4 linked regions of the Tamandua tetradactyla genome follow. The protein of the gene in region 3 interacts with the protein of the main gene of each other region in a biochemical or structural test. Links are inferred from orthologs where the notes say so. Each region holds a gene or a part of one and is shown on either strand. Other genes may lie near its edges.

Region 1 (6,845 bases), on a different chromosome or scaffold from region 3:
GAAGGAAGGGTCTCCTGGGGGCAGCTTTTGGGAAGGGGACCCATGAGGTCCACACCAAGTGGCAGAAGTCACTTTGACTGTTGAAGTCATGTGGAAGCTGGGTGGGTCGCCTTCACTGGCCCTGCTGCCCAAGCTCCGCTTCTTCCCCTTTCCATTTGTCCTGCCAGCTTCAGAGCCAAGAAATGTCCACTGCCTCCAACTTCCAAATAGTTTGCCTCTCACAGTTCTTTATAGGGAAGTTTTTTGGAACACAGCAATTTTCTCTCCATTTGAGAACAGTATCGTAAATGGCTGTTAGCTTTTCAAGCCCAAATGCACTAATTTGTGTAACTTATAACGTCATTGGAATGTTTTAATGATGGAAATGAACTGCCGTGTATAACCATGTTTTTGATGAGGAAATGATTCACGAGTAGCACGTTGGCTTACCAGGGAGAAACTCGACGTTACAGGCTCACCCTTGTTCTCTGCCACGCCCCTGCTGTCATCTTGTGGGAGGAAGTGCTGCCCGTTCTTGCCCTGGCCGGGATCTGTGCACTGGGGATTGTTGATGCTTAGTGATGATTGGGGATGGGGAAGCAAAGATGGGAGCAGTCTTTGGGAAGTAAGGAAAATGTGGATGACAGAACCCCCAGTCAGCAAGGATGGAACTTTCCGCCTCCCCTTTCTCCTTCCCGTCCTTTCCCCCTTTCTTCTCTCCATTAGGGTGCAGGAACAGGGTTCAGCCTGTCTGGGTGGTCCGTTCACTGGGAGAAGTGGAAGAACTGCATAGAGCACGACCAGTGGCCGTGGTACTGGGAAGGCAAGCGCCACATGGGACCATCTGCACTGGGGAGATCTCAAACCTCTGAGCTGCCTTGAGAAATTACTAGTCTGTATTTTTATTAAGCCTTAAACCTTTTTTTAGTGCATTTGGTGCCAACATTTTTCTAGAGCTATAACAACCAAAAAAACCTGTACTCACATCTCAATGTAATTTTGATAGGAACATTGTGTTATTTTTACAAGGCAGAATGGGGTATAACAGTTGAATTAAACTTAGCAATCAAGAACTTAAAATCTTTGCTGTGTGTGTGTGTGCTTTCCTTAAACGGCCCAATCTCCATGTTAATTTTCTCAAACATGGATTTAAGGTTTTTCATTGAAAACATTTAGCTCTGAGTAGAATGACTGGGACCGTGCTAGTGGTGTTTCCAGTTTCTGTATGCTACTGTAAGAAATAGTAAGATTTCTGTAAGAAATAGTGATTATTTCTTCTATACCACTTGTTTTCCTAAAAACAAAGTACTGGACTTGCTCCTGAGAGTTGGGTTTGTCAGACCCATATATAGAGAGAAGGATTGGATGCCTTCCCTCCTCATTTATCTTCCCTTGTCCCAGAAGCAGGCTTTATGTCCTTACCCACAGTACATGGATTCAGGGTGATGAATCGTTCCAGCCCCCTCTATGAGGACAGAAAATCAGAAAGAAGCCAGGCATGGGTTATGAAACACCCATCTTCATTTGCTTATCCCCATGTGATTTGCAGTAGAGGGCAGCTAGAAATAACCTATATTAGCAGCAGCTGTTGCAGTCACAGGTGAGCCGAGGTCTCAGGTCCACAGCTTCTGTCTCCAGAGGCATGGCAGTGGCTCCACCTGTGTGGGGGTGAGGGCCTGAATAACAGCCAGTCGGGGGTGCACCAGCCATGGGTAACGTGCTTTTTGTGGGGTGCCTCAGTCAAACCTTGCACTGCTCCCGCTTAATCACATCCAGAGTTGACCACATCTTCTGGGCTCCCCTCTTTATTTTTTCCCGTTCTTAATCCTTAGCATTCTTAAATGGTAGCACTAGTGAATTTTCTGTTTTATGAGTGGCTGCAAAGCAATGCTTTGTAAACTTCAATTAAAAAAAAAATGTTACAGGGACTGAGGTGCCCTTTTCAAGCATGAGAGGCATCCACTTAGAAATCAGCAAGTTTTGAAACTTGCCCATGTTTCATATAAAGGATCTTGTAATGAGGAAAGAAAAACCTGAATCCCAAACTATCTTTCAAGATCAGAGAACTATGTATCTTGAAACTATCTTTGAAGATCAATCTAAGTCTAGTCTATTAGGAATTCCCTTAGATTGAACTTTCTTTGCACTATCTGGTAAGCAGCAAGGATTCAGCAAGTCATCTTGTTACGTTTTGTTTAATTTTAATGCAGTTTCAAGCAACAAATCTGCCCTGGTCCTGAGCCATCAAAATAAAGCTGATGGCCCAGTCAGTGGCTCCTTGTGGCCGAGGTGACTGTTCCTGCAGTAGCATGCTACTTCAGAGGGTTCAAAAGGGTTAAATTTCTGCAAAAGGCCCAAGGTGGAAGTTTTTCTCTTGCTCACCAGGGAGAACTAAATATATTTTATCCATTTGTCCTGCTGCCTTTTGAGAATTTCAATTCGTTTCTACCTAACATTGAATGCACGCTTACTATCTGCTAGAAATAGAGCTAACTAAATCTCTTGTGGGTTAATTCACTTAATCTACCAGTGTTCACAGTACACTAGTATTTTTTGGCTGTTTTGCAGGTTTGGAAATGAAGACTTGGATTCAGTCACTTGATTAGGATCAAAATCCAGACAGTCTGCGTCTGAAACTTGAGAGCCTCATATAACCTACCTCTGAGTTGAGCAGGTGAACATGTATACAGTAAATTGTGTTGCAAGGATAAAATCTGTAGAAAATATAGTGTGTGTTTAGGGGTGTCAATGACAGAAGAATTCCTTGTTTGGGTGTAACTGGGATATGATGAGGGTTCGCATTGGCTCTGAAGCATTTCAGAAGGTGAAAGGGGAGCATTTAAGCAGGCACTGATTTGGTTTTTGACCAGAATTCACAGCACCTATGTGGCCTACGTAAATCCCAGGCTGAAAATGTTAGTTGTGGGTTCAAAGAGCCCCCGATGCCCTGCAAAAGAAAAGACAAACCCTGCAGAGCAGCTCATTTTAAAACAGCCACAATTTCACAGATGACGTCCCATGGAACACTAGCTAGAGGGGGCTGGGGGAGGGAGCCTGAGCAGAATGCAGAATCAGACCTGAAAAATTTGGTAATGGAACTCAGATACCAAAAAAAAAGCGCTTAAACTGTAAGGAATAAGCGCCTATAAGAACTGGTAAAACATAAGAAAACCAAATGGGGCAAATAGAAAATTTAAAAGTAACCACTGAAATGAAAAATGCAATGGACAGGTAAAATAAGACAGCAGAAAAACGAGGATCTGAATAAGTTACACAAAAAAGCAGGGCAGAAACAGACTAAGCTACAGGATTTTAGGGTGGGACGAACTCGCATCTGGTTGGACGCAGAGGTGTTCTTAAGAAGCGGTGGGCCGCGCCGTGGGGACGCGCAGCTCCGCGGTCACGCTGCACCGGTGCTCAGAGGACCGCGGGCGCCGGGCCACGGCCGCCCTGGAGAGAAGCGCCGCCGCGGGGCTTCCAGGGACGTTCCTGTTTGTAAACGGGGGCGGGCTGAAGTCCAAGCAGAACCGTTTGGGAAACACCACACGCCCCCGGTCTCGAAGCCCGGGCGGGTCCCCGGGCGGCTCCACCGGAAACACATCCTGCCCAGCCCAGCCGAGTTTCCGCCCCCGCCCCCCGCGAGACTCGCGACACCCGCTTCCTCTCACGCTGGGCGACCCCTGGCGGCGCCGCGCGGCGGGGCTCCGGCGCGGGGGCGGGACTTCCGGCGCGGGCGGGGCTTCCGGCCAGTGAGTGACGGGCGCGGCGGCCGAGCCTGAGGCGACAGCGGCGGCGGCGGCGAGGACCTGCTGCGGCCTGCGGACCCTCGCGGCGGCCGGACGGCGGGCCGCGCTGGCGGCGGCGATGGCCGCGATGATGGAGATCCAGATGGACGAGGGCGGCGGCGTGGTGGTGTACCAGGACGACTACTGCTCGGGCTCGGTGATGTCCGAGCGGGTGTCGGGCCTGGCGGGCTCCATCTACCGCGAGTTCGAGCGCCTTATCCACTGCTACGACGAGGAGGTGGTCAAGGAGCTGATGCCGCTCGTGGTGAACGTGCTGGAGAACCTGGACTCGGTGCTCAGCGAGAACCAGGAGCACGAGGTGGAGCTGGAGCTGCTGCGTGAGGACAACGAGCAGCTGCTCACGCAGTACGAGCGCGAGAAGGCGCTGCGCAGGCAGGCCGAGGAGGTGCGTGGGCCCGCGCGGCCGCCCCCGTCCCCCCCGCCGCCCCGCTCCCCGCCCGCCCCGTCCCCCCCGCCGCCCCGCTCCCCGCCCGCCCCGTCCCCCCCGCCGCCCCGCTCCCCGCCCGCCCCGTCCCCCCCGCCGCCCCGCGCCGCCCGCCGCCCCACGCGCCGCCCGCCGCCCCACGCGCCTCCCCTTCTCACCCCCAGACCCCGGGGTCACCATCTCCGGCCCCTCCGCCGCCCAGGAGCGCCGCGGGTGTCGGGAGCCCTTTTCCTTTGTTCCTCACGCAGCATCTGGCGGGTCTGCGGCTTGAGTGGACCAGGTGGTGGACATACCACGTCACGAAAGCCGCATCGGGTGAAAGACTCGGGTGGGGAGGTGCCCCTTGGCTCCCTGCGGGGGCGACAGAGTTGGCTGTGGGCGGCCAGGGGCTCCGCCCTGGCTCTGCAGGCTTTGAAAGGTTGGGTTGTGTTGTAGGCCGCCTCCATTGCCTGGAAATCGGCCGGTTTGGGGCCAGCTGTGTGCGAGGGAATACCAGCAGCTTCGTTCCTTCACCACCGAATACTTGAGCGTGGTCACTCGCCCGACCTGCGGCTTTGCCCTTTGTGGAGGACAGCAGAGTGAAGGGGGGTGGGGGATATGGGATTCCACCCCTGCCTGGCCGCAGACCCCCTCTGTGACCTTGGCCGCTGGCGGGCCTGCTCCCGGCTGGGATGCTCCATCAGTCAGATGAGCAAGTTGCCCTGGATGGACCCCCGCCTGGAGGTGCTGCTGTGGCAGGAGTTAGGGGGAGCGCTTTGATTTACGGAGAGGAGGTGTCCTGTCAAATGAGTTCAGATTCCCTTGTCATTCATGTAGCACATTCCTGACTTCAGTACTGAAATGAAAGGTTGCTTCAGTATTTTGAGTTTTCCTTAAACCCGGTTTACACCCTCATTTGACTTAAAGTTTATTTATAGAAAGGAACAGTGTCTTGTACTGTTCCTATTTAGTGTGGTTTATTTTGCTCTGGGATTTCCTGTTATCTGTCAAGAGGCTGCTGCTGTCTGTTGATGGGGGTGCCCAGGTGCCACCAGAGCTGAGCTCAATCTCTCAACGTAAGGGCGTGCGATAGCGCAGAGAACTTCAGAGCTCAGAGCAGCCTGGGCATTTTCCGGGGTAGGAGCCACCCGAGGAGTGGAGGGACCCGACCAAGGTCACACACTGCGGGTGAGCAGGACTGGGCCCTGGAGCGAGCCCTGACTCCCAGCTTGACACTTCCTCCTGTCTCAAGCTCTGGGGATCAGAGTACCATACCTGGGCACTGGGCACTGCCCTCCACCTCTCTCTCGGCTCTAGTGCCCATTTGATGCACAATGGAGGTTTCAGATTGGTTTTTCTTCCTTCAGTAGTGGGTGAAAAGGAACTAAAAGGAGAAAAGTCAAAAGGGACAGTCTTGTAGCTAAGAATCATAGCTTTGCTTTAAAATTAGCTGTACATAGATCAGGCTTTCTCTGCTCTGTGCACTTCACATGCAACCTCTACCAAGTGTGCTTTGCCCTCCTACTGACCCTCACTGCTGGACTGAGAGCTGTTGGGTGTGCGTGTGTGGTTGGGGTCTGAGAACCAGCACTAGGGCAGCTATTCAGAGAAGCTGCCCAGAGAGCTGCATGAGCAGAGAGCCGTGAAGAAAACACATACTTGGCTAGCAGCCTCAAGGTTTGGGTTAGATGCTGGTAGTATGTCCTTGGGAAGACCTCAAGTGATGTTACAGCTACAGAAATGCTTGGCATTCTAAGTCACTGTTAAATCAACCGGACATGCGTTTTAGTTCTGTGGGAAAAGACCACCATGGCACTGCGGACCAGCTTCTTTCTCCAGACAGAGAATTGTGATGACGTATTTATGTGTCTGATAACAAGGGCTAGAGTATTGCAAGCTCCAAGATGTTGGCGTTGCAGACTCCTCCCATATGAGCCCTAGCCGGAGCCTGTCCCCAACCACTCTGCTCAAGAAGGCTTAGTCAGAGGAAGTAACCTGAGCTGCCTGCAGCCTCTGAGCAGACAAAATCTGCAGATTTTCATAAAAAGAGAGAGAGAAAGCCTTCAGCAGGGCAGACATGCCTGTCCCTATTTCTTTTTGCCTGTAATAACTGCAGTTAGAAATTGCGAGTATGTTCTGCTACCAAGTGGCTAGTTCAGTGGGACTTGTGGTAACCGGAGACCATGTGGTCCACACCTGGTAGCGCGGACGCTGAGTGTCAGCCCTGCCCTTGGGTCTCAGAGCCCAGGGGAGTTTCTTCCCCACTCTGGCCCACACTGACCTTCCCTGTAAAGTGCGCAGGTCGCCAGAATGGCGAATGGTTCATCTCAAGCGCCAACTCCGACCGTTGGCCTCTGGTTGCTGGGAGAGCAGTGCCAAGGTGGATTTAGTGGTATCAAGGCCCAAGAAGCAGGGTCCTGATAGGTTCCAGGGAGCCTTCCTTGCCAAGCCTCTGGCAGGGAGTCTCGATGCGGGTGTCCCAAGTCCAGGCATCCAGTTCTGCCCCTGTGTTTGAGAACGGCAGGTCCTAACACAGCTCGGCACAGGCTCACAGAGCTAAATGAACCTGTTTGGGGCTTCTGAAATTTCCACAGAGATCTTAAGACATGTTTGAGCTTTGTATCCATTAAAAAGTTTTGTTAAAAATCCAGCCAGTT
Region 2 (7,443 bases), on a different chromosome or scaffold from region 3:
ATCATTTGTCTAAAAGTTTAAATATGTAGTTCATGCTTTCTGACTTTAAAAATAAAGAAAATCATAAGATTAGGTATTAGTTAAGCCTTAGGACAATGTACATTTAAAGTCAAAGTAAAACATTAAAATTTGTAATAAGCAACAGATACTATTTGGGTGCTGTGTACTGTACTATGTATTTTACATGTATTATTTTAATTTATTCTTTTTTTATATCTCCCAAACTGGTGAATTCATGTTTTATTTCTTACTGGAGAGGTTCTTAGTGAAATTATATCATGTAAATTTTTCCTAAAAAAGGTACTCAAATGTAATTTAACCTTGAGAAGAAGGAATGAAGTCCTACTAACTCATAGGTTCTCAATCTCCTGGGTTTAGGTTTGTTTTTATGATCATATTGCTGTTCCAAAGGTGGGCTCTAGGATCATTTAGCTTGCTTTTGTGGTACTTAACTACAATATAAGAAGGAAATTATAGCACGGAGAAAAATGTGTCTATAGGGTGCTGTTGCTTTGAAGCCATGGGACACTAGCCTATTCAGCTAACGGCACCTTAAAGTTTTTGTTCACTTTATTAGTTTTCTCTTGCTGCCTTACAAATTACCCTAAATTCAGCAACTTAAAACACATATACAAAAACAGCTCACAGTTTTTATTTTTGTTTTTTGATCTCACAGATTTTGTGCATTAGAAGTTCAGGTAGACTCTGCTGCATCCTCTGCTTAGGATCCAAACAGGGCCAAAAGAAGGATTTGACAGTTTTGTATTCTTTATAGAAAGCTCTGGGGACGAATGTGCTTCTAAGCTCATTCAGTTTGATGATTGAATTCAGTTCTTTGTACTTGTGGAATTGAGGTCCCCCTTTCCTTGTTGGCTGTCAGGGAGTTGGGGAATGGACTGGTCTTTGCTCCTAGAAACTGGAATGCTTCACATCTGGCACCCTCCAGTAATGACGAGTTGAATTCTTCTCATGCTTCTAATTTCTCTGACGTCTTTTTTTGAATTTGTCTGACCCCTCTCAGAGAAAGGTCTCTGTTCTTAAATTCTCATGTGATTAGATTGGGCCCATCTCTGTAATCCAGGATGATCTCCCTATTTTAGAATCTGTAGTCTTTTTACTTAAGCATAATCCCTTTTGCCATGTAACAAACATAAAACATATTCACCAGTTCCAGGGATTAGGGGATGGACATCTTTGGGGAGCCATTCTGTGTAGTACATTCATATTCCTGAATAGAAATTTGATAAACTTTGTATCCTTACACATTTCTAAGTTTATTTCTAAAAGTTTTCATCACATATTTAAATAGTTACAAAAAGTAGATTTTGTACCTTTTCTAAATAATGGCACCACTCATTTATAATTAAATACCAGTGATCACATACTGTTGTTTTTTTTTTTAAAAACTCAAATGAGTTTATCTTCAACAGTTGGACATTTTTATGTTCCTTTTTCTTATTTAACTCCTATTTTCTTTCCATTTCTCCAACATAATTTTATTTGAATCCAGTCTGTGTTTATGTTTTAAAGTATTTTGTTGATAACCTTTTCATACTCTGCTGTATATACATTTTTTTTGTTTTTCAAAGTTTGGATGATAATCTAATGTTGCGTGTGTAAGACAGGCCACATACAGCTGGCTTAGTCTGGTTTCATTTTGTTTGAGGTGAAGATAAGACCACAAGTCCATCTCACTGTTTTCTAACAATGGATTGTTTTGTCTGTTCCTGATCTTTTTTAAAAAATATTTTTATTGTAAACAACAAACAAAAAATACAAACATTCTTGGCATACAAACATTTTTGACATGGTTATAATCAGTGGTTCACAATATCATCACATAGTTGTGTATTGATCACCATCATCATTTTTTTGAACATTTGCATCTCTCCAGCGAAAGAAATTAAAAAGAAAAAACTCATATATACTATACCCCTTACCCCTCTGTATTAGTTAGAGTTCTCTAGAGAAACAGAATCAACAGGAAATATTCATAAATATAAAGTTTATAGAAGTGTCTCATGTAACTGTGGGAACGTAGAGTCCAAAACCTGTAGGGCAGGCTGTGAAGCTGATGATTCTGATGGAGAGTCTGGACAGACTCCACAGGAGTTGTTGCCGGCCACAGCAGGAAGAGAGCTGTCTCTTCTGAATCCTCCTTAAAAGACTTCCAGTGATTGATTAGGTTAAGCATCATTCATTAAAGAAGACATCCCCCTTGGCTGATTACAAATGGAATCATCTGTGGATGTAGTCAACATGATCATGATTTAATTCTATGAAATGTCCTCATAACAGACAGGTCGGCACTTGCCAAACCAGACAAACAGTTACCACCACCTGGCCAAGTTGACACATGAACCTGACCATGGCACCCTCCCTCTTGTTGACCATTAGTATTTCAATCTACTCAATTTATTTTAACCTTTGTTATTTATTAATTTCTTATCCATATTTGTTACTCATCTATCTATACCATAGAACATCAGACACAAGATTTTCACAATCACACAGTCAGTTAAAAAGCTGTATCATTATACAATCATCTTCAAGAAACATGGTTACTGAAACACTGCTCCACAGTTTCAGGTACTTCCCTCTAGCTGCAATAATGTACCATAAAGTAGAAAGGAGATATCTGTATAATGTGTTAGAATAACCTCCAGGATAACCTCCCAACTCTATTTGAAATCTCTCAGCCACTGACACTTTATTTTGTCTCATTTCTCTCTTCCTCCTTTTGGTCGAGAAGGTTTTGTCAAGCCCTTGATGCCAAGTCCTAGCGTCCTAGGATTTCTGTCCCATGTTGCCAGGAAGGTTTATACCCCTGGGAGTCATGTCACATATACAGGTGGGGAGGGCGGTGAGTTTGCTTGCCATGTTGGCTTAGAGAGAGAGAAGTTTTTGAGCAACTGTTGAGATAACAACACAAACCTTTCCTTACAAATAAGTCCACTGAAAGCCAATACCTAGAAAATAAACATTTATGTGAAGGAAATAATTTGCAGAAATTTATCTCTACCTAGAAGATGTTCAGTTTTACATTGTCCCATAGAGCTGTTTGTCCTTTGAATTGCTACTCCGTTTATAGTCTCCATTTTACGTTTGTATAACTAAATGTCCAGTTCAGAAAATTTTGCCTTTAGGAAACAGGAGTCTGTATATAAAATAATTTTGTTGTCAGCTTGAAATGAGTATCTTTTTAGCTTTTGGCATTCACATAAAAATTTCAAACTGTTTCCCTTTAGCCACTCTAATACACCATAAACTAAAAAGGAGATATCTATCTAATGTGTAAGAATAACCTCCAGGATAACATCTTAACTCTTTGAAATCTCTCAGCACTGACACTTTATTTTGTCTCATTTCTTTCTTCCCCCTTTTGATTGAGAAGGTTTTCTAAGTCCCTTGATGCTGAGTCCCAGCTCATTCTAGGGTTTCTGTCCCATGTTGCCAGGGACAGGGACACCCTTGGGAGTCATGTCACATGTAGAGAAGGGGAGGCAGTGAGTTTGCTTACTGTGTTGGCTGAGAGAGAGAGAGGCCACTTCTGAGCATCAAAAGAAGTTCTCTGGGAAAGACTCTTAGGCCTAGTTTTAAGTAGGCTTAGCCTATTCTTTGTGGGGATAAGTTTAATAGAAACAAACCCCAAGATTGAGGGCTTGGCCTGTTGATTTGGTTGTCCCCACTGCTTGTGAGAATATCAGGAATTCTCCAAATGGGGAAGTTGAATTTTCCCCCATTCTTCCCATTCCCCCAAGGGGACTTTGCAAATACTTCTGTATTCACTGTACAAATCCCTCTGGGATTTATCAGGACATCACACTAACTTGGACCAACCTACAAAATCTCATGCCCTGTCCAATGTTCCATGTACTGTGGTCACACTCAGGATTTTGATGCTGAGATGCAGCACTGCCTTTTCACCTAACATCATGCCTTCCTCCTTACCCCCCTATCTATCATGGTGAAAAACTTCGTATATCTGCTGTGTTTCACCAAGGTTCTATTGTCTTACTTCCCTCCTTGAAAGTGTCATTCCTTTGATATGTTGCATGTGCAAGGAGTTATGAGAGGCCACAAGATAAATACCTTCCTTGAGCATTAAAGATTTTGGAGGGAACATATTATATTAAAAAATAGGGAATGGAAGGGAAAATTAACATTTTTTTTTTAAGATCCAACTTCTACCTTTTTATTTAAAACTTTAATTTGGTACTCTATGTACAATTCAGAATTTCCCATTTTAATCACATTCAAGTGTATAATTCAGCGGTATTAATTGTGTTTACAATGTTACCATGCATTTTAAAATATAGAATAAGGAAAATACTTTTAAAACTTCATAGTGCAGTTGTACTGCATGAGGCTATTCTTTTAGATCGTGCAGGTTAATGAGTTCACTCTTTTCTGCCTATCCTTTGCCCTAAGGATACTTAAATGGAAACTTTGGAAGCTCTGCTTATTTGATAAGAGAGGAGTGATTCCTGGCAGCAGAGTGAATATAAAGCTCATGGCCCACCAGCCAGAAAGGTAAGAGATTTTAAATTTTATTTTTTTAAACATTAAAATATTTATTTTAAGGAATTGGCACAGATGATTGTGGGGGCTAGCCAGAAATTACAGCAAGAATTAATGTTGCATCAACGAGTACAGCAAAGTGGCAGGTTACAAGATCAACATTCAAAAATCTGCAGTATTTCTATACACTAGTAATGAACAATCGGGGAAATCAAGAAATGAATTCCATTTACAATTGCAACTAAAAGAATAAAATACTTAGGAATAAATTTAACTAAAGAGACAAAAGACCTGTACAAAGAAAACTACAAGAAACTGTTAAAAGAAATCACAGAAGACCTAAATAGATGAAAGGGCATACCGTGTTCATGGATTGGAAGACTAAATACAGTTAAGATGTCAAATGATTTACAGATTCAACGCAATACCAATCAAAATCCCAACAATTTACTTTTCAGAAATAGAAAAACCAATAAGCAAATTTATCTGGAAGGGCAGGGTGCCCCGAATTGCTAAAAATATCTTGAGGAAAAAAAACGAAGCTGGAGGTCTCACGCTGCCTGACTTTAAGGCATATTATGAAGCCACAGTGGTCAAAACAGCATGGTACTGGCATAAAGATAGATATATTGACCAATGGAATCGAATAGAGTGCTCAGATACAGACTGTCTCATCTATGGACATTTGATCTTTGATAAGGCAGTCAAGCCAACTCACCTGGGACAGAACAGTCTCTTCAATAAATGGTGCCTAGAGAACTGGATATCCATATGCAAAAGAATGAAAGAGGACCCATATCTCACACCCTATACAAAAGTTAACTCAAAATGGATCAAAGATCTAAACATCAGGTCTAAGACCATAAAACAGTTAAAGGAAAATGTACAGAAATATCTTATAAATTTTATAATTGGAGGCGGTTTTATAGACCTTACACCTAAAGCAAGAGCACTGAAGAAAGAAAGAAAGAAATGGGAACTCCTCAAAATTAAACACTTTTGTGCATCAAAGAACTTCATCAAGAAAGTAAAAAGACAGCCTACACAATGGGAGACAATATTTGGAAACGACATATCAGATAAAGGTCTAGTATTCAGAATTTATAAAGAGATTGTTCAACTCAACAACAAAAAGACAGCCAATCCAATTACAAAATGGGAAAAAGACTTGAACAGACAACTCTCAGAAGAGGAAATACAAATGGCCAAAAGACACATGAAGAGATGCTCAATGTCCCTGGCCATTAGAGAAATGCAAATCAAAACCACAATGAGATATCATCTCATACCCACCAGAATGGCCATTATTAACAAAACAGAAAATGGCAAGTGCTGGAGAGGATGTAGAAAAAGAGGCACACTTATTCACTGTTGGTGGGAATGTGAAATGGTGCAACCACTGTGGAAGGCAGTTTGGCGGTTCCTCAAAAAGCTGAATATAGAATTACCATACGACCCAGCAATACCATTGCTAGGTATCTACTCAGAGGACATAAGGGCAAAGACACAAACGGACATTTGCACACCAATGTTTATAGCAGCATTATTTACAATTGCAAAGAGATGAAAACAGCCAAAATGCCCATCAACAGACAAGTAGCTAAACAAACTGTGGTATATACATACGATGGAATATTATGCAGCTTTAAGACAGAATAAAGTTATGAAGTATGTAACAACATGGATGGACCTTGAGAACATTATGCCGAGTGAGAATAGCCAAAAACTAAAGGACAAATACTGTATGGTCTCGTTAATATGAACTGACATTAGTGAATAAACTTAGAATATTTTGTTCATAACAGTGACCATCAGGAGATAGAAATAGGGTAAGATATTGGGTAATCGGAGCAGAATGGATACAGACTGTGCAATAGGACTGGATACAAAAACTCAGAAATGGACAGCACAATACTACTTAACTGTAATACAATTATGTTAAAACACTGAATGAAGCTGCATGTGAGAACAATAGAGGGAGGAGGGCTGGGGGCATAAATGAAATCAGAAAGAAAGATAGATGTTAAAGATTGAGATGGTATATCTAGGAATGCCTAGAGTGTATAATAATAGTGACTAAATGTACAAATTTTAAAAATGTTTTTGCATGAGGAAGAACAGAGGAATGTCATTATTGCAGGGTGCTGAAAATAGATGGTAATTAATATTTTAAAATGTCACCGTATGTGTGAGACTAAAGCAAAAAATGTTTATTAGTTAAAAAATTTTTATTTTGACTAGTGCATCTCGTAATACAACTTATGTAGATAGTTTGATTGAATGCCATAAGTACCTGGAATCTCACGTAGGACATGAGATTTTGCTGGTTTGTCCAGAGTGATGCCCCAATGAATCCCAGAGTGATTTGATCAGTGAGTGGAAAAGTATCTGCAAAGCCCCCTTTGGGGAGTGGTGAGAACAGGGAGAAATTCAACTTCCCCAAGTTGAATTCTTGATATTCTCACAAGCAGTGTGGACAACCAAAGCTGCAGGCAGAGCCCCCAGTCTTGGGGTTTGTTCATATGAAACTTAACCCCGCAAAGGATAGGTCAAGTCTACTTAAAATTTAGGCCTAAGAGTCACCCCCAAGAGAGCCTCTTTTGTTGCTCAGATGTGGCCCCTCTCTCCAGCCAACACAACGAGCAGTCTCACCACCCTACCCCTCTCTACGTGGGACATGACTCCCAGGGGTGTGGACCTTCCTGGCAACGTGGGACAGAGATCTTGGAATGAACGGAGAGTCAGCATCAAGGGATTGAGAAAAACCCTAGAATGAGCTGAGATTTAGCATCAAGGGATTGAGAAAACCTTCTCGACCAAAAGGGGGAAGAGTGAAATGAGACAAAATAAAGTGTCAATGGCTGAGAGATTCCAAACAGAGTCGAGAGGTTATCCTGGAGGTTATTCTTATGCATCAAGTAG
Region 3 (7,267 bases):
TATACCAGCAACAGAACAGCTTTTTAAAAAGGGAATTTATTAACTTGCAAGTTTACAGTTCTAGGGCCTTCAAAATGTCCAAATTAAAGCAAGGCTATGAAAATGTCCAAACCAAGGTATCCAGGTAGAGATACCTTGGCTCAAGAAGGCTGATGAAGCTCGGGTTTTCTCCCTCAGCTGGGAAGACACATGGGAGGTCTGCTAGTTTTCTCCAGATTTCTTCAACTGCTCCCCGGAGGTGTTTTCTTTCCGCATCTCCAATGGTCTCTGGCTGTGCGGGCTCTGAAGCTTTCTCCAAACGGTTCCCTCTCAAAGGGCTCCAGGAAGCAACCCCACCTTGAATAGGTAGAGACGCATCTCCATGGAAACCATTAATCAAAATGTCCCACCCACAATTGGGCGAGTGACATCTCCATAGGAGCAATTAAAAAGCTCCCACCCAGCAACACTGAATGAGGATTAAAGGACGTGGGTTTTCTGGGGAACATAATAGCTTCAAACCGGCACAGCTGCCCATCCCTGAAGCAATCACTGAGGACACCGGGTACACTGAGGGGCGACGCCTGGGGCTGGAGTGCAGGGGACAGAGCCCGCAACACAAGGGGGTTCTCCAAAGTCCTGCGGAGATACAGCTGCTAAAGAAGGGATGGGGCTGGGATGGCAAACACAGCCCAGGGCCCCAGCAGGGAGCAGGCGGCGGGCTGTGGGAGGTCTGTAGGGCGCACCTGGTCCGCCTGGGAAGCAGCCACCGAGGACCCAGGCCACCCAGTGCACCTGCCCACCTTCCTGCTGCGTCCTCAGGGGCCCCGACTGTCCAGCCCGCTGCCCACAGGACTGAGGCTCGGAGAAGGGAAGCCCCAGTCCAGAGGTGCAAGCAGGAAAGCAGGGCCAACAGCTCAGAGCCCAGGCCGCCTCGGGGGTGGGGGGTGGGCCGTGGGCCATGGGATGGAGCCCAGGCGGTCCCCGAGGGGGCGAGATGGGGCAATGGGAAGCCCAGCCCCGGACTGTGCATGCGGACCCGGGCGCCCCCACTGCCCACCCTCCAGCCCAGGGGTCGAGGCCAGAGCTCCCTCTGCTCTCCTTTCCCTTCCCTTCCCCGCCCTCCTGCGCCCTCCTCTCCTTTGCCAGGCAAGCGAGCGGCAGCGGTGCTCGGTGTCCGGCAGCTGTGGCATCACGGAGGGGCGGGAGCTGCGGGTTGAGGCGGGGAAAGGGAGGGTGAGCACCCCAGAAGCCAGGAAGGGCCCACGGCCTTCCCGGCAGGGAGCCCACCCAGGGGCCGCAAAGCCGCAGGGGAAGGGGCGCACGGGGGCTGGAAAGGGGCAAGCGATGAAGCGGGGATGCATGGGGCACCGTCAGGACCGCGGGATCGTCTGTGCGACTGCGACCACAGGTGCCTGCCAGAGGCGGGGGGGGGGGGGGGGGGGGGGGGGGGGGGGGGGGGTGGTTGCGTGGCTGGCGCGTGGCGGAAGCGGGGGCGGCCGCGCGGCGGAGGCCGGGAGTGAAGCCTGAGCCCTGAGTTAACACCGGATCAGTACTGCTTAGTCAATGGTAACAAATACCAACACTAATAAAGATGTTAGTAATCCAGAGACTGGAGGGTATACGGGGGCTCCCCATACTATCTGCTCAATTTTCTGTAAACCTAAAACTGCTCTAAAAAATGAAAGTCAACCAATTAAAAACAAAAAGGCCCTTTTTCATAAAATAATTCTTTGGTTTTGGCAAATATATACTCATATAACCACGACCAAAATCAAAATATAGACTATATCCATTACCCCAGAAAGTTCTCTCTTGTCCATTACTGTCAGTCCCTTCCTCCCACTCTGGCCAGCACTGATCTGACTTTCCTTTTTTCCCAGAATGTCATATAAACAGAATCATGGAGGATATCAGCTTTTGTGGCTGGTTTCCTTCACTTAGCATGTTTTTGAGATTCATCCACGCCGTGACCTTGTCAGCATGTAGTTCCTTTTGGTTGCTGTGGCGCGCTCCATTGTTTGGACATGCGGCTTATCTGCTCTCCGGATGAGGGGCACACGGGTGGTTTCCAGCTTTTGAACTGTCAGGAATAAAGCTGCTCTAAACAATCACGCACAGATCTTTGTATGGGCACATTTTTATTTCTCTTGGATAAATACCTAGGAATGGGATTGCTGGGTTGTAGGGCGCACATATGCTTAACTTTAAAGGAAACCATCAAACCGCTTTCCAAAGAGGCGGTGCCATTTTGCATTCCCGCCAACTGGGAGTGAGCACTCCAGTCGCTCCGTGGCCACAATACCAGTCGGTATCGTCCGATTTTTAAAAATTTTAGCCATGCTAAGTCGTGCTGAGCGGCACCTCACTATAGTTTTAATTCTCATTTACCTAAAGACTTGAATAGTTCTAAAATCAATTTCTCCCTCTTGGCACCTGCTGCTGTGGCCCCAGGGAGGGTCTCATGCTTTCTCACAACCCCAACTGGTCTGACAACCCTAAGTTCCTCAATGCCCCCTTCCCCCAAAAAAACCTCTCATGCCCCAGTGACTTTCCCAAAACAAACACCCAATCACATGACCCCTTCCTTGTGTAACACGTCTAGTCAGCTGGCTGCCCTTTGCCTGCACAGTGGTACTGCCAGCTTGAGGGGCCACCAGCAGCAGGTCTCCTCCAGGACATGTGCAGCCAGAGTGGGCACGGGGTGGGGGAAGGATTCTGTGCACCCCTCCAAGGCAGAGACCCCACCCCAACCTGTCACCCCAACTGTGCATCTGCAAATGTCACTGCATGTCATAAGGCAGAAAAAGGCAGTATCTTTGGACTGGATTCCTTATAGAAAACTTAGTGTGGAATGTGTGTGTGTGTGTGTGTGTGTGTGTGTGTGTGTGTGCGCAACGTACAGTGATTTCTGGCTCTTCCCTGGCATGGAGTGAAGGGTGCCCTGAAAGGTGGGTGCTGTAAAAGCAGGCCCCTGAGTGTTCCCGGGCAAAAAGGTTTTTCTGGTTTGCCAAAATACTTGTTTTTGATCATGCAAATATGCCTGAGGCCAAGTGGCAGGCAGGTCAGTGTGAGGTGAGGACAGGCCGCCTGGACCTGTCTCTCCTGTCAGCCTCGCTCTAGCAGGAATGAGCCGGTCACCCCTTTGCCGGCCAAGGTCAGGGGCCCGAGGCTCCCTTAGCTCCTCCATCCCACCCCTTCCCCGAGGCCTGAGACCCCGGTGCCATCAGCCTCACCCCGCCCGGGGTCCCCAGCCCCTGACTTCCCCAGAGGGCCCTGCTCCCAGCTCTCCAGTCCACGCACCGGCGTCCTATGACTGCTGCTTTCCCATTTACCGACCACCATTTCCTACTTGCCTGCCCCCAAAGTCAGCCCGCCTCCTCCCGGTATGCCCTGACCGCTGAGCTTTCTCTAAATTTGCCCAAGCTCCTCCCGGACAGGTCGCTCAGCCAGGCGCGATGGCAGACCCCACCGCCCGAGGTGCTCCCGCCGCCCGAGATGCACCCACCGCGGGAAGAAAACTCAGGCCTGCCAGTCCCCAGCGGGACGGCGGGGCTGTGGGAGACGCCTCCAGAGAGCTCCGAGCAGACAGAACCCGGCCTCCCGCGGCCCCCCCCCCCCCGCGCCCCCTCCCTCGGTATAAATCTGCCCCTTTGCTCCTCTGACACAGAGGCTGCCCCTTCGGACCTCCTTACCCCCAGCATCCAGAGCCCCGGCCCCGCCTCTCTCGCGTCCCTCCCCGGCCCCGGGGGAGCGTCGACGTCTGCGTCCCACCTCCTCGCCTCCTCTTGCTTTCCACCGCCCCGCCATGGCTTGTAGCCACGCCCGCGGCAAACCCGCTCCCGGAGGCCGCGCAGCGACCCACGTCCCCGCGCCTCTCTCCGCTCCTCGCTCGCGATCCTGGGCAGCTCCTGCCCTGTCCCCGCCGCCACCCGCCCGGCTCTCGGTCCGGTCAGCCTGTCGGTCCACCCTCTCGGCCCCATCCGGGCTCTGCAGAACCCGCAGGCGTCCGCACCAAGACCTCAGGCTCCGGGCGCGCGGGTCTCGGCAGGCGCCGCACAGACCTCGGGCGCCGGCACCCGGACCTCAGGCTGCGGGCCGCGCCCCAGGCCCCTCCCGCTGGCCTGGTCCGCCCCCGCGGCCCGCCCCGCGGCGCGATTGGCCGGGCCGAGTCTATTGGGCCAGGCTCTCCGCGCGCTGATTGGGCGGCTGGCGGGTCAGTCGGGCCCGGCGCCGCGGCGGCGGCGGCGCGGGGGGAGGAGGAGCGGGACCGGAAGGGGCTACGCGCCGGGCGCCCTCACACCCACTGCGGCGGCCGGGCCCGGGCGGGCTGCGGGGGGCGAGCAGCAGCGTGGGGCCTCCGAGCCGCCCGCCAGCCCTGTCCGTCCGGCGCGGCGGCGGGAGCGAGGTGAGCCTGCGGGGCGGGCGGGTAGGCCTGGCGGGGGCTGCGGCCCGGGGGCTGCGGGCGGAGGGCGGAGGGTTGCGGCCAGGGGCACGGGCCGGGGTCTCAGGCGGAGGGCTGCGGGGGGCGCTGCGGGCCGGGGGCTGCGAGGGTGTTGGAGGGCCGGGGACTTGGGGGTCGTGGGGCTGCCGGGGGAGCTGCGGGGAGCTGCGGGCGGGGGCTGCGGTGCTGCGCGGGCCGGCGCCGCCCTGGCCTCGCGGCTGCGGCGGACGCCCTTCCCCCGCGGCGGTCAGCACCCGGGGCTGGGGCCCGCTCCAGGGCCGGGACGCGCCGGGGATGAGGCTGGGGTGAGGTCCGCAGGTGCCCGCCTTCGGGACCGTGGGGCCCGCAGCCGCGCAGCCGCGCCGGGACGTGCGGGAGCCCGGGTCTCGTCACCGCGACCTTGGCCGAGGCGGGGCCCTCGCAGCTCCTGGATGTTCTTCTGGAGAAAGTAAGGGAACACCCACTGGCCTGGGCAGGGCTGTGGTCAGGTGTGCGGCTGTGTGCGGGCGCCTGGAGCGGTAGCCCCGCATGCTTGTGCACCAGTGGGAGGGATACAGCCTCCTGCTGCAGTGTGTGGCAGGAGACCCCCCCATCGCCCCCACTCCTCCAGTGCGTTGTCATTGCACACTCAAAGCCAGGCCACTCCTGAGTGTTCCCTGCCCAGCTGTCCTGCCACTCCCCCCACCCACAGCCCCTCACGTGCCTTTCCCGGGGCCTTTACACTTGCTGTTTCCCAGGGTTGGAGTTGGCTTGGGGTCTTTGCAGAGCTGGCCCCTCAGCATTCCTGCCTCTGGCCAGCATGAATAGCCTTCTTTGACCACCCTCTGTCTTCCCTTAGTCATTCTGTCTCCTTGCTTTAATTCTCTTCTTAGTTTACTCTGGTTTGAAACCATTCCATTTATTTGCTGCCTATTTTCTGTTTGCCTACTAGGATGTAGGCGCTGTGAAAACAGGTAGTTCTGTGATTTGTTCACTGCTGTCTTCTCAGTGCTGAGAAAGCATCCAGTGAGTAGCAGTGATATCAGTTGAGTGAATGAATGAATGATCTAAAGAGAGACCTGGCGGTGCCTCTGGTTCACCTGTCCTTTAGTAATTTCGGGCTAGCTAGTGGAACCTGGAAGCAGATGGAAGCCTGTTCTCATTTTGTGAAACATTTTCATGGCCTTGACCTCTTTATTTGGCAACTATTGGAGCAAGCTATGGATGGAAAAGCTACATATTTGTGTCTTAGCTTGAGCTTATTTTGCTACATGCAGGAGGCACTTGTGAGTTCCGTGTTATCTAGGTCAGGCTTTGTGCCGGTGCAGGGGACACAAAGGAGATGGTGGCAGGGTCCCTTCCCCCAGAGAGCCTGAGAACCCCAGAAGGAGCCAGGCAGACAGTTCCGGAACAGCGGGTAACTGCCGCAGTGGAGGGGCCGTGCTGTAGAGACAGGCAGGAGTGACAGGTGGTGATGGAGTCGGGTCTGGATGGGAGAGGAGGCGGGTGGGAGCGGTGACTTCTGCCAGGCAGCAGAGGCGCTCTAGATTTTTAAGTTCAGTCTCCTTGTTTTTATATACCGACAATAAGTAATTATACTCTTTTTTTTAATGCTTATGTTTATGTTAGCCAAGCTAAACATAAACCCCATGCAGCTTGTCGGCAGGAATTTCAGTCTGGGGACCTGCTGCTGGGGAGAAGCTGGAAAGCCGCCTGAGGCCCGGGGAGCTGGGCCGGGGTATTTCCTGCTGTCCCTGCAGCTCTGGGGGGAGCAGCCAGGACGTCCACACTCCCCGGGGAGAGGGTTGTCCCTGCTGCCTTGACACGGTGGCTTCCCACCAGGCAGCTGCTGGTGAAATCTGAATCCAGGTCTCCGGGCAGACCCAGTGGCCTTCCCACAGTCCCTTAGCTCTGAGTATTGTCTTCTGGCTTTTAATTGAATTTGTTGTAAATGACCCTTTCCTCCTTTAAACCTTTTGTTCTCCCTGCAAAAGGATCCTGAGAGGTTAAAAAGAATCCCGTTTGGCACAGTATTCTCTGGAAAGCTTTGGCATTCCTGAGAATTGAGTTTTCAGAGTGCCATGACTTTAAATAATTTATGGGGTCCCCAAAATGTTATGCCGAGTACACTTGAATTTCATGTTTGTCTCATTAAAGTAAAATTGTCATGATTTTCTGGATGAAGAAAAGTTCCAGACAGAGCAGTTAATAGAGTAGATACGTTCCCGTTTTCATGATGCATAGAGTAAAAGAGAAACTACTTTTTTTTTTTACTGTTTTTTAAAAAAGAAGAAACTACCTTTTCTAAGGTTCCAGTTACATGTAATTTTCCTGAAGAATAACTAAGTTGGTACTTGGCCTTCTGTAAACTGTGATAGTTTGTCTGTCAGGCTTTTATTTTAACTGTGTCTTATGGAGATTTTTAAACTTATATGACAATAGCTAGAAGAGTACCCAGCTTGTGCGGTTATCAGCTCACGCCCAGTCGTCTTTCCTCTCTCACCTTCCTTAATTTCATACCTTATACCTGTGGCCTTATGCCCTCCCCCTCATCAATTTGGTTTGTTGTCTCTAAGAGGTGAGGAATCTTTCTAACTTGAAAGAGCCATAATTCCTTAAATAATCAGATAACCAGTATTCGAATTTCCAGTTGTCCCGTGTTTTTATCATTTATTTCACAGTGTGTTCATTTGATTCAGCTAAGGTCATCCACATTTTGATTGTTTGATGTCTTTCAACTTCTTTTAATCTGTAGGTTCCTTCTCTATTCTTTTTTGTTGTTGTTTTCTTTGTAGTTTATTTCTTGCAGTTTGTCAGAGAGCTTTGTCGTTCTATAGTGTTTCCACATTTGGGATTTTTCCTGAT
Region 4 (7,227 bases), on a different chromosome or scaffold from region 3:
CTACCCATACCTCCATATAAGACAGCCCCATGCAACCCACCCCACAAACCCTAGACACACACGCAACCCCCCCACCTCCCTCCTACACAGTCACAGCAGAACAGAACCCTAAACTGACAGGCCCTACACACACCCCTGGAGGGTTGGGCCAACACACAAACACACACACACTGATGAAACAGGCCTCACGCACACCCGCACACACACACACACGCAGGCCAGCTGTGGGCAAACCCACAAGCAGAGCAGACGCACCCTGGACCTGTGCCAAGAGGCCCTGTGGGGCTCTGGGGCCCCCTCCCCTAGATCCTGGCACTTCCTCTCTCCACAAATTACCCCCGCCTTCCCTCCCTGCCTTCCTCCCTCTTGCTGTTTATCACTTCCCCCAGGAGGCCCAGCTCAGCAGCTCAGAAGTCAGACCCTGGTGGGGTGTGGGCCTGTCTCTTCATCGCGTCCCCTGTAAAGGGGGCACCGAGGATCTTCGCCATGCTCAGAGACCCCACCACCACCACCAAGACCTCACCAGCAGTGGGGGGAGACAGAACCAGCCCTATGGGAAAAGTTGCCCCATGCCCAGCTGAGTCAGCCCGAGGAGACCAACTCTATACTTCCTGCTTCCAAGAAAACCCAGCAGCTTCCTCTCCAGGAGAGGGGCTAAGGGGGAACTTCCTGAACCCTGAGCCCCCCCAGACCACAGGGATGGGGGAGGGAAATGGCTGGCAGACCAGGGGCTCCTGGGGTGGGGGAGGAGGGCCTCCGTGACTCTTCCTGCCCAGCTGCCTGTCCACACCCAGGGCAGGGACGCGGGAGGCTGGGTGCTGGGACTTGTGTTTTCTCGTCCTGGCCTGCCCACTGGCTGACTCACGGGCAGCCCCCAGCCCAGTTTCCTGGTGGGGGGCCCCGTCAGTCAGTGGGGCCAGGAGTGAGGGGGTCACCAAGCTATTTATAAGAAGCAGAAGTCCCTCATGCCCAGGCCAAAAGCCCCCGAGAGACCCGTGGGTGGGGGTAGGTGAACTTCCTCCTTATCCTGCACCCCCCACCCCCACCCCAGGCCCCTGGGTGTGGGGGAAGCCTGGGCACAAGACTACCCAGCCCCCTGCTGGTCTGGGCACTCAGACCAGGGGAGAGAGGGGGCCATCCTCACACCCTCCTTGTGGGGCTGGCCTTGGCGCCAGTGGGGCGGCATGAGGGGGTGGCACCCAGGCCACAAGGGTGAGACTGGCAGGGGCTGGAACCGGCTGGACCAGCTCAGCTAGGCCCCCGCCTTCCCTCACCAGCCCCATTCCCACCCCCTGCTCAAACACCCTTCCTTGCAGGGTGCATTGAGCGACCCCAACAGGCTGAGGTACCCCACACATACACTCCACGGCACGGCACCCTCTGGGCACCCATCCTGCACCCAACTCCTCCTCTCTCTGGATACAGGAGACCCTTTGTGAAAGGGCCTGCAGAGCTTGGCATACAGTTGGTGCTGCATAAAGGCTCCTTGCCCCCTCATTCTGATTCTCCAGAGCTCTGATCCCCTGCCTGTTTTTCTCTTGGGACCCTGGAGCCAAACTCTTTGGGTTATATCCCAACTCCACCCCTCATAACTGTGGGACACTGGGCAAGTTCTGGAACCTTCTGTGCCTCAGTTTCTCCTCTGTTAAATGGGGAGACCAAGAGACTTTATTTTGCTGGGTTGCTGCAAGCGTCTAATGACTGACTATACGTAAATCACTTAGAAGCACCATATAAGTGCTAGCTATTAAAGGGATAATTATTATTTCTCCATCTGTCTTCTTACCTGAAGTGTCTGGGAGTCTGTCTCTGTCTCCAGGACGCTAACCCTGCCCCTGTCTGTCTCCCTGCCCTGACCCCAACCCCCAAACACCTACTCTTCCTTGCTCCACACTCTGGGACTTGCCCTCTGTCCCTTGCTGGCACAGCTTTGCCCCTGCAGGGCTCTTCCCCACACACCTCACCCCAGGTCTGAGTTACAATTGGCCTATGGGACCTGCAGGTCAACTTCCCAAGGTGCTGCTGCCCTCTGGCCTACCCTGCCCAGCCCCCCCAACGCTGCCCGCTGCGCCCCCACCGGGCCAGATGTCAGCTGCAGTTATTAGCATGGGCGGGAGACACAGGCCTGGCAGCGCGCCGGTCAGACTCAGCCACCAGCAGCCGCCGCCGGAATCTCCCCGAGACTGGGGCGGGGGAGGGGAGCCGGTAGTGCAAGGGGAAGAGGGGTGGGGGGTACTCTTATGGGTGACAGGGACCCTTCAGAGATGGGGACGCCCCCAGCTTTGCATGGGATCTTCTCCCCTCCCTACCCCGCCAGGCTACCACTTTGCTGGACTTCCCCTGCCCCCATACAGCTCAGTTTCTCTTTCGGCTCTGTCATTTTCCTTCTCTCCCCTACCCTGGACCACCTCTGTGCCTGCCAGCCCTAGACTCTCAGCCTGCCTCTATCCCAAAAGGGCTTCCATCCTCCCAGAAGACAGAGTTTGGGAGGCTCAGAGAGGGAGCTGCTCTCCTGAGCAAGCCCAGCCTCCACCTCACCTCTCCCAGAGGTCCACACCCTAGGTGCTTGGAAGTCCCATCTTAAGTCTAACTAGAAGCCTCACTATCTGAATCTCTACCCAGTTTTCCTTGGGAAAGGGTGCTGTGTTTCTTCCCGTTCTCTCCTTGGATTTTTAGGTCCTCTCTGATTGTGGGGGGAGGTGTCCCTGTGGGGAGGGGGGACCTCCTCAGGAGGGAATGGAGACCCCCTCCAGGCATTCTAGATGGGAGATGGGAACCGCTGGCTAAGACGCAAGGGGAGCCCTAGCCTACAAGAGCCAGGGAGTGGCGCCCCAGGAGTGTGTGTCTGAGGGTTTGGGGGAGCGCCCAGACCTCCTGGCAGAGGGGAAGGGCACCCCGCCCGGAGGAAGGAGGCAGCAGTGCCAGCCCGCCCAGGCGCCGGGGCGCCTCCAGGCATTGCCCAGCCTCCTTGGTGCCCCGTCGGGCCGGGGGCGAAGTCCGACCCAGGCCCGCGGGCAGGCGGGGACCTGCCTGGCTGGACCCGGCAGGACGCGGCCCCAGAGCGGCTGGGCGGGGCGGGGCCGGGCGGCCGTCGGGGCCCTGGGGGCGGAGGTCGGGGCTGGTCGGGACTAGCCGTCCGGGGGCCCAGGGCGCCCTGGGACCTGGCAGATCCCCGGGCTCCCGGCTCCGGGCTGGGGGCCCCGGGACGGCGCAGGCCCCACCCCTTCCTGTGACCTTATATGGGCGTGGGGTGGGGGTGGGGGGAGACTCCAGGGGCCGCCCGGCACCCAGTCCTGCCAGCGGACTCCGGCCTGTTGCCATGGCGACCAGGCCCCGCTCCCCAGGCTACTCCCCGTTCGGTGGGGCCAATGGAACCATCCCCGCGTTGTCTGCCCGCGCCGCGGACGGAACCATTCCCGGAGCGGGGGGCGGTGGCACCGACGAGCTCGGCGCGGCCAGGCCTCGGCGGGGGTCGCGCGTCCGGCTTCTTCTTCCCAGGCGCGGAGCCCGGGCGGGGCGCACGGTCCCGGAGGATCCGAGTGACGGAGGCAGGGCCGGGCTCCTTCCCCGGGGGCTGTTGCCACACTTCCTGCCGCCACGCTCTTTCCCCAGCCTGTTTCTAAGGAAGGGAGTGGGGCAGCGAGGCCGCGCCCCAGCCGTCGGGCTGGGTCCCAACTCCAGGACCCAACACGGTGTCGGGCGACCACAGGGTCACTGGGGGAAGGGCATCGGATTGGGGACAGAGTATTGGGGTGCCACGGGTCACGCACTGGAGTGGGGGTTGGGGTGGGGCTCGAGTCATGGAACGCCCAGCACGTCCCGTTCCCAGGATCCTAGAAGCCCCCTCTCTTCCTGCTTGCCCCAGCTGGGGACCCTCCCGTCATTGTCCTCTAAGCTCCAAAGATGTGCCTCGACCCCTTTCTAACTCTAGTCCATCAAGGCTTCTCAGATGGCCCCTAATCCCCAACCTAGCCCCTCGGACAGGCATGTCTCATATTCTACTCCACATATTTCCCCAGACCCAAAATGTACCCCAAGACCCTAACCCACTTTCTATATATCTAGAGCCCCCAACTCCTTCCCCTCCCCACTTAAGGGGACCCTCAGACTCTGCCATGGACGTGAGGATCCCTACTAGTTCCCTGCCTAATGGGTTGTCCACCCCTTCCCCCGTGTGCCTGTAATTCTCTCCCCTCCTCTCTGGGCCTGCGTTAAGCCCCTCCTGTGAAAATTTCCTCTGCGATCCTCACTCAATTCCTGGGACAGGTATCTCCTTACTCCTCTGCATTTACCCTGTTTAACCCTCCTCTGCCTACTTTTTGGGTGCTCACAGTGTATTCTCAGCACCCCCTCCCCAACCCCTCTCTGACACTCGGGGTCCCTCAAACCTTTCCACGTTCGCCCTGGGACACCACCCCCACCCCAGCCTCGGCTCCTGGCCCTCGAATCTCTCCCCGGGTACTCCTGGGGAAGCATCGCCCTCCTCGCAGCCCCTCCCCGGTGTACATCGGGCCCCCTAGCAGCCCTGCTTCGCGTACCCCTGGGTCCTCCAGCCCCTCCCCGTGAAGCCGCGCCGCGCCACCCGGCCCGTGGCCGCTGTTTACAAGGACACGCGCTTCCTGACAGTGACGCGAGCCGCCTCCTCCCCTTCCCCACGCTCCGGGAGGGGGGCGCGGGGGCCCGGCTCTGGCGACGGCCAATCGGGGCGCACTTCCGCAGCTGACAAGCGTCGTATAAAGGCGGGCGGCTCCAGCCCAGCAGCAGGGACCTTGAGCGCGGCCGGGCCAGCGTCGGAGACAGCCGGGAGCGGAGGGGCAGTGGGAAAGCGAACGCCGAGAAAGCGAGCGCGCCCGAGGAGGGCGAGAGGGGCTTGGGCAGGCGGGCAGAGCTCCCGCGCACAGCCGCTGGCTGGCCGCCCCCCGCCGGTGCGGGACCCCGGGAACGCGCGTCCAGACACGCGATCCAGCCACCTCCGCGGACAGCGAGCAGCTCGCTGCAGCGAGGCCCGGGGCGGCCCCGCAGGGACCCCCCCAGCCCGCCCGGGCCGCCCGGATGTGCACTAAAATGGAACAGCCCTTCTACCACGACGACTCGTACGCGGCGGCAGGCTACGGCCGGGCCCCTGGCGGCCTCTCCCTACACGACTACAAACTGCTGAAACCCAGCCTGGCGCTCAACCTGGCGGATCCCTACCGGGGCCTTAAAGCGCCCGGGGCGCGCGGTCCCGGCCCGGAGGGCAGCGGTGGCGGCAGCTACTTTTCCGGCCAGGGCTCGGACACCGGTGCGTCGCTCAAGCTCGCCTCGTCGGAGCTGGAGCGCCTGATAGTCCCCAACAGCAACGGCGTGATCACGACGACGCCCACGCCGCCGGGACAGTACTTTTACCCCCGCGGGGGCGGCAGCGGCGGAGGGGCGGGGGGCGCAGGGGGCAGCGTCACCGAGGAGCAAGAGGGCTTCGCCGACGGCTTCGTCAAAGCTCTGGACGACCTGCACAAAATGAACCACGTGACGCCCCCCAACGTGTCCCTGGGCACCAGCGGGGGGCCCCCGGCCGGGCCCGGGGGTGTCTACGCGGGCCCGGAGCCGCCTCCCGTCTACACCAACCTCAGCAGCTACTCCCCGGCCTCTGCGCCCTCCGGAGGCGCCGGGGCGGCGGTCGGGACCGGGAGCTCGTACCCGACGGCCACTATCAGCTACCTCCCTCACGCGCCGCCCTTCGCCGGCGGCCACCCGGCGCAGCTGGGCCTGGGTCGCGGCGCCTCGGCCTTCAAGGAGGAACCGCAGACCGTGCCCGAGGCGCGCAGCCGCGACGCCACACCGCCGGTGTCCCCAATCAACATGGAAGACCAGGAGCGCATCAAAGTGGAGCGCAAACGGCTGCGGAACCGGCTGGCCGCCACCAAGTGCCGGAAGCGGAAGCTGGAGCGCATCGCGCGCCTGGAGGACAAGGTGAAGACGCTCAAGGCCGAGAACGCGGGGCTGTCGAGCACCGCCGGCCTCCTCCGGGAGCAAGTGGCCCAGCTCAAACAGAAGGTCATGACCCACGTCAGCAACGGCTGCCAACTGCTGCTCTCGGTCAAGGGCCACGCCTTCTGAGCGCCCCCCCTGGACGGACACCCACCCACCCCAGCCTGGACGGCTGGGTGCACTCCTCCCACGGGGGCGAGGGGACAGGCGGTGGGCACCGGCCCCGGGGGCCTTGGGGACGCCGCCAACCACACTGGACTCCCGCCCGCCAGCCGGCGCGCTGCTCCCACTCCATCCACCTCGAGGTTTACAGACTCCGAGCTCCACGTTTATTATTATTATTTTTTTTGTATTTTTTTTTTCTGCTGGAAACAGACTCAATTCATATTGAATATAATATATTTGTGTATTTAACAGGGAAGGAGGGAGGGAGGGGGCGACCGCGGCGGAGCTGGCCCCGCCGCCCGGTACTCCAGCCCGCGGGGACACTGGGGAGGGGACCCCCGCCCCCTGCCCTCCCCCCCAACTGCATCGTACTGTGGAGAAGAAACACGCACTTGGTCTCTAAAGAGTTTATTTTAAGATGTGTTTGTGTGTGTGTGTGCGTTTGTTGTTCTGACTTTTTATTGAATTTATTTAAGTAAAAAAAAAAAAAAGGTTCTTTATTAATTTCTGGAGTCATTTTTTTCCCCCCAATGTCAGGAGGGAGGACGAGGAGGAGGGAAGGGGAGAAGGCTGCTCCCCCAGTGCTGTGCGTGGCTCGCTCCGCATCTGTGCCACCCTCCCCAGCACGGACCCTGTCTCCGGCCCTCCCCGCGGTCCCGGGTCGCGCGCGGGAGGGGCGGAATGCGCAGGCGCGGGAGGCGCGATTCGCGCAGGCGCGGCCCCGCCCCGCCGCGCGCGCCGGGGCTTTCCCCGCTGACGCAGCGGAAGAGCTGCCCATATATGGGCCGATTCTGCCCAGTGACGCGCAGGCCGTCTCCGGGCAGATTCCGGGAATCCCCTCCCCCGCTCTGCCGGGCAGGGCCGCGGCGCCGGGAAGGGGGCCGGGATTTTCCCAGGCGGGCCGGCTACTCGGGCCCGGAAAGCCCCAAGCCGGGGTCCAGCGCACCCGCGGTGGGCGGGCCTCGCCCTTTCGGGTTGGCGCCGCGCCGCGCCCCCCCCCCCACCCCGCCTTCTCCCTAGGACCCGACCCGGGCGCGGGGGCTGCGGCAGTCTCCGCGCCGTTGCGCCGCCCTGCCCCGCCACCCCCGCCAGGAA

The links.
Region 1: the proteins of MAPK9 (region 3) and MAPK8IP3 form a complex in vitro, tested with the Homo sapiens proteins (2 studies listed by BioGRID). The link is inferred for Tamandua tetradactyla from reciprocal best matches to the Homo sapiens genes MAPK9 and MAPK8IP3.
Region 2: of the proteins of MAPK9 (region 3) and ATF2, one has a biochemical effect on the other in vitro, tested with the Homo sapiens proteins (4 studies listed by BioGRID and IntAct, with this or other methods). The link is inferred for Tamandua tetradactyla from reciprocal best matches to the Homo sapiens genes MAPK9 and ATF2.
Region 4: the proteins of MAPK9 (region 3) and JUNB form a complex in vitro, tested with the Homo sapiens proteins (2 studies listed by BioGRID). The link is inferred for Tamandua tetradactyla from reciprocal best matches to the Homo sapiens genes MAPK9 and JUNB.

Annotation. Positions count from the first base shown.
Region 1 is NC_135349.1:55,767,189-55,774,033, reverse strand, and holds the start of MAPK8IP3 (C-Jun-amino-terminal kinase-interacting protein 3), read left to right. Parts: upstream 1-3,823; 5' UTR 3,824-3,843; coding exon 3,844-4,170; intron 4,171-6,845.
Region 2 is NC_135329.1:147,335,218-147,342,660, reverse strand, and holds the start of ATF2 (cyclic AMP-dependent transcription factor ATF-2), read left to right. Parts: upstream 1-4,428; 5' UTR 4,429-4,513; coding exon of another isoform or gene 4,514-4,533; intron 4,534-7,443. UniProt on the Homo sapiens protein: Transcriptional activator which regulates the transcription of various genes, including those involved in anti-apoptosis, cell growth, and DNA damage response.
Region 3 is NC_135346.1:1,030,031-1,037,297, forward strand, and holds the start of MAPK9 (mitogen-activated protein kinase 9), read left to right. Parts: upstream 1-4,250; 5' UTR 4,251-4,387; intron 4,388-5,334; exon of another isoform or gene 5,335-5,819; intron 5,820-7,267. UniProt on the Homo sapiens protein: Serine/threonine-protein kinase involved in various processes such as cell proliferation, differentiation, migration, transformation and programmed cell death.
Region 4 is NC_135337.1:89,837,068-89,844,294, reverse strand, and holds JUNB (transcription factor JunB), read left to right. Parts: upstream 1-4,751; 5' UTR 4,752-5,052; coding exon 5,053-6,096; 3' UTR 6,097-6,715; downstream 6,716-7,227. UniProt on the Homo sapiens protein: Transcription factor involved in regulating gene activity following the primary growth factor response. Binds to the DNA sequence 5'-TGA[GC]TCA-3'.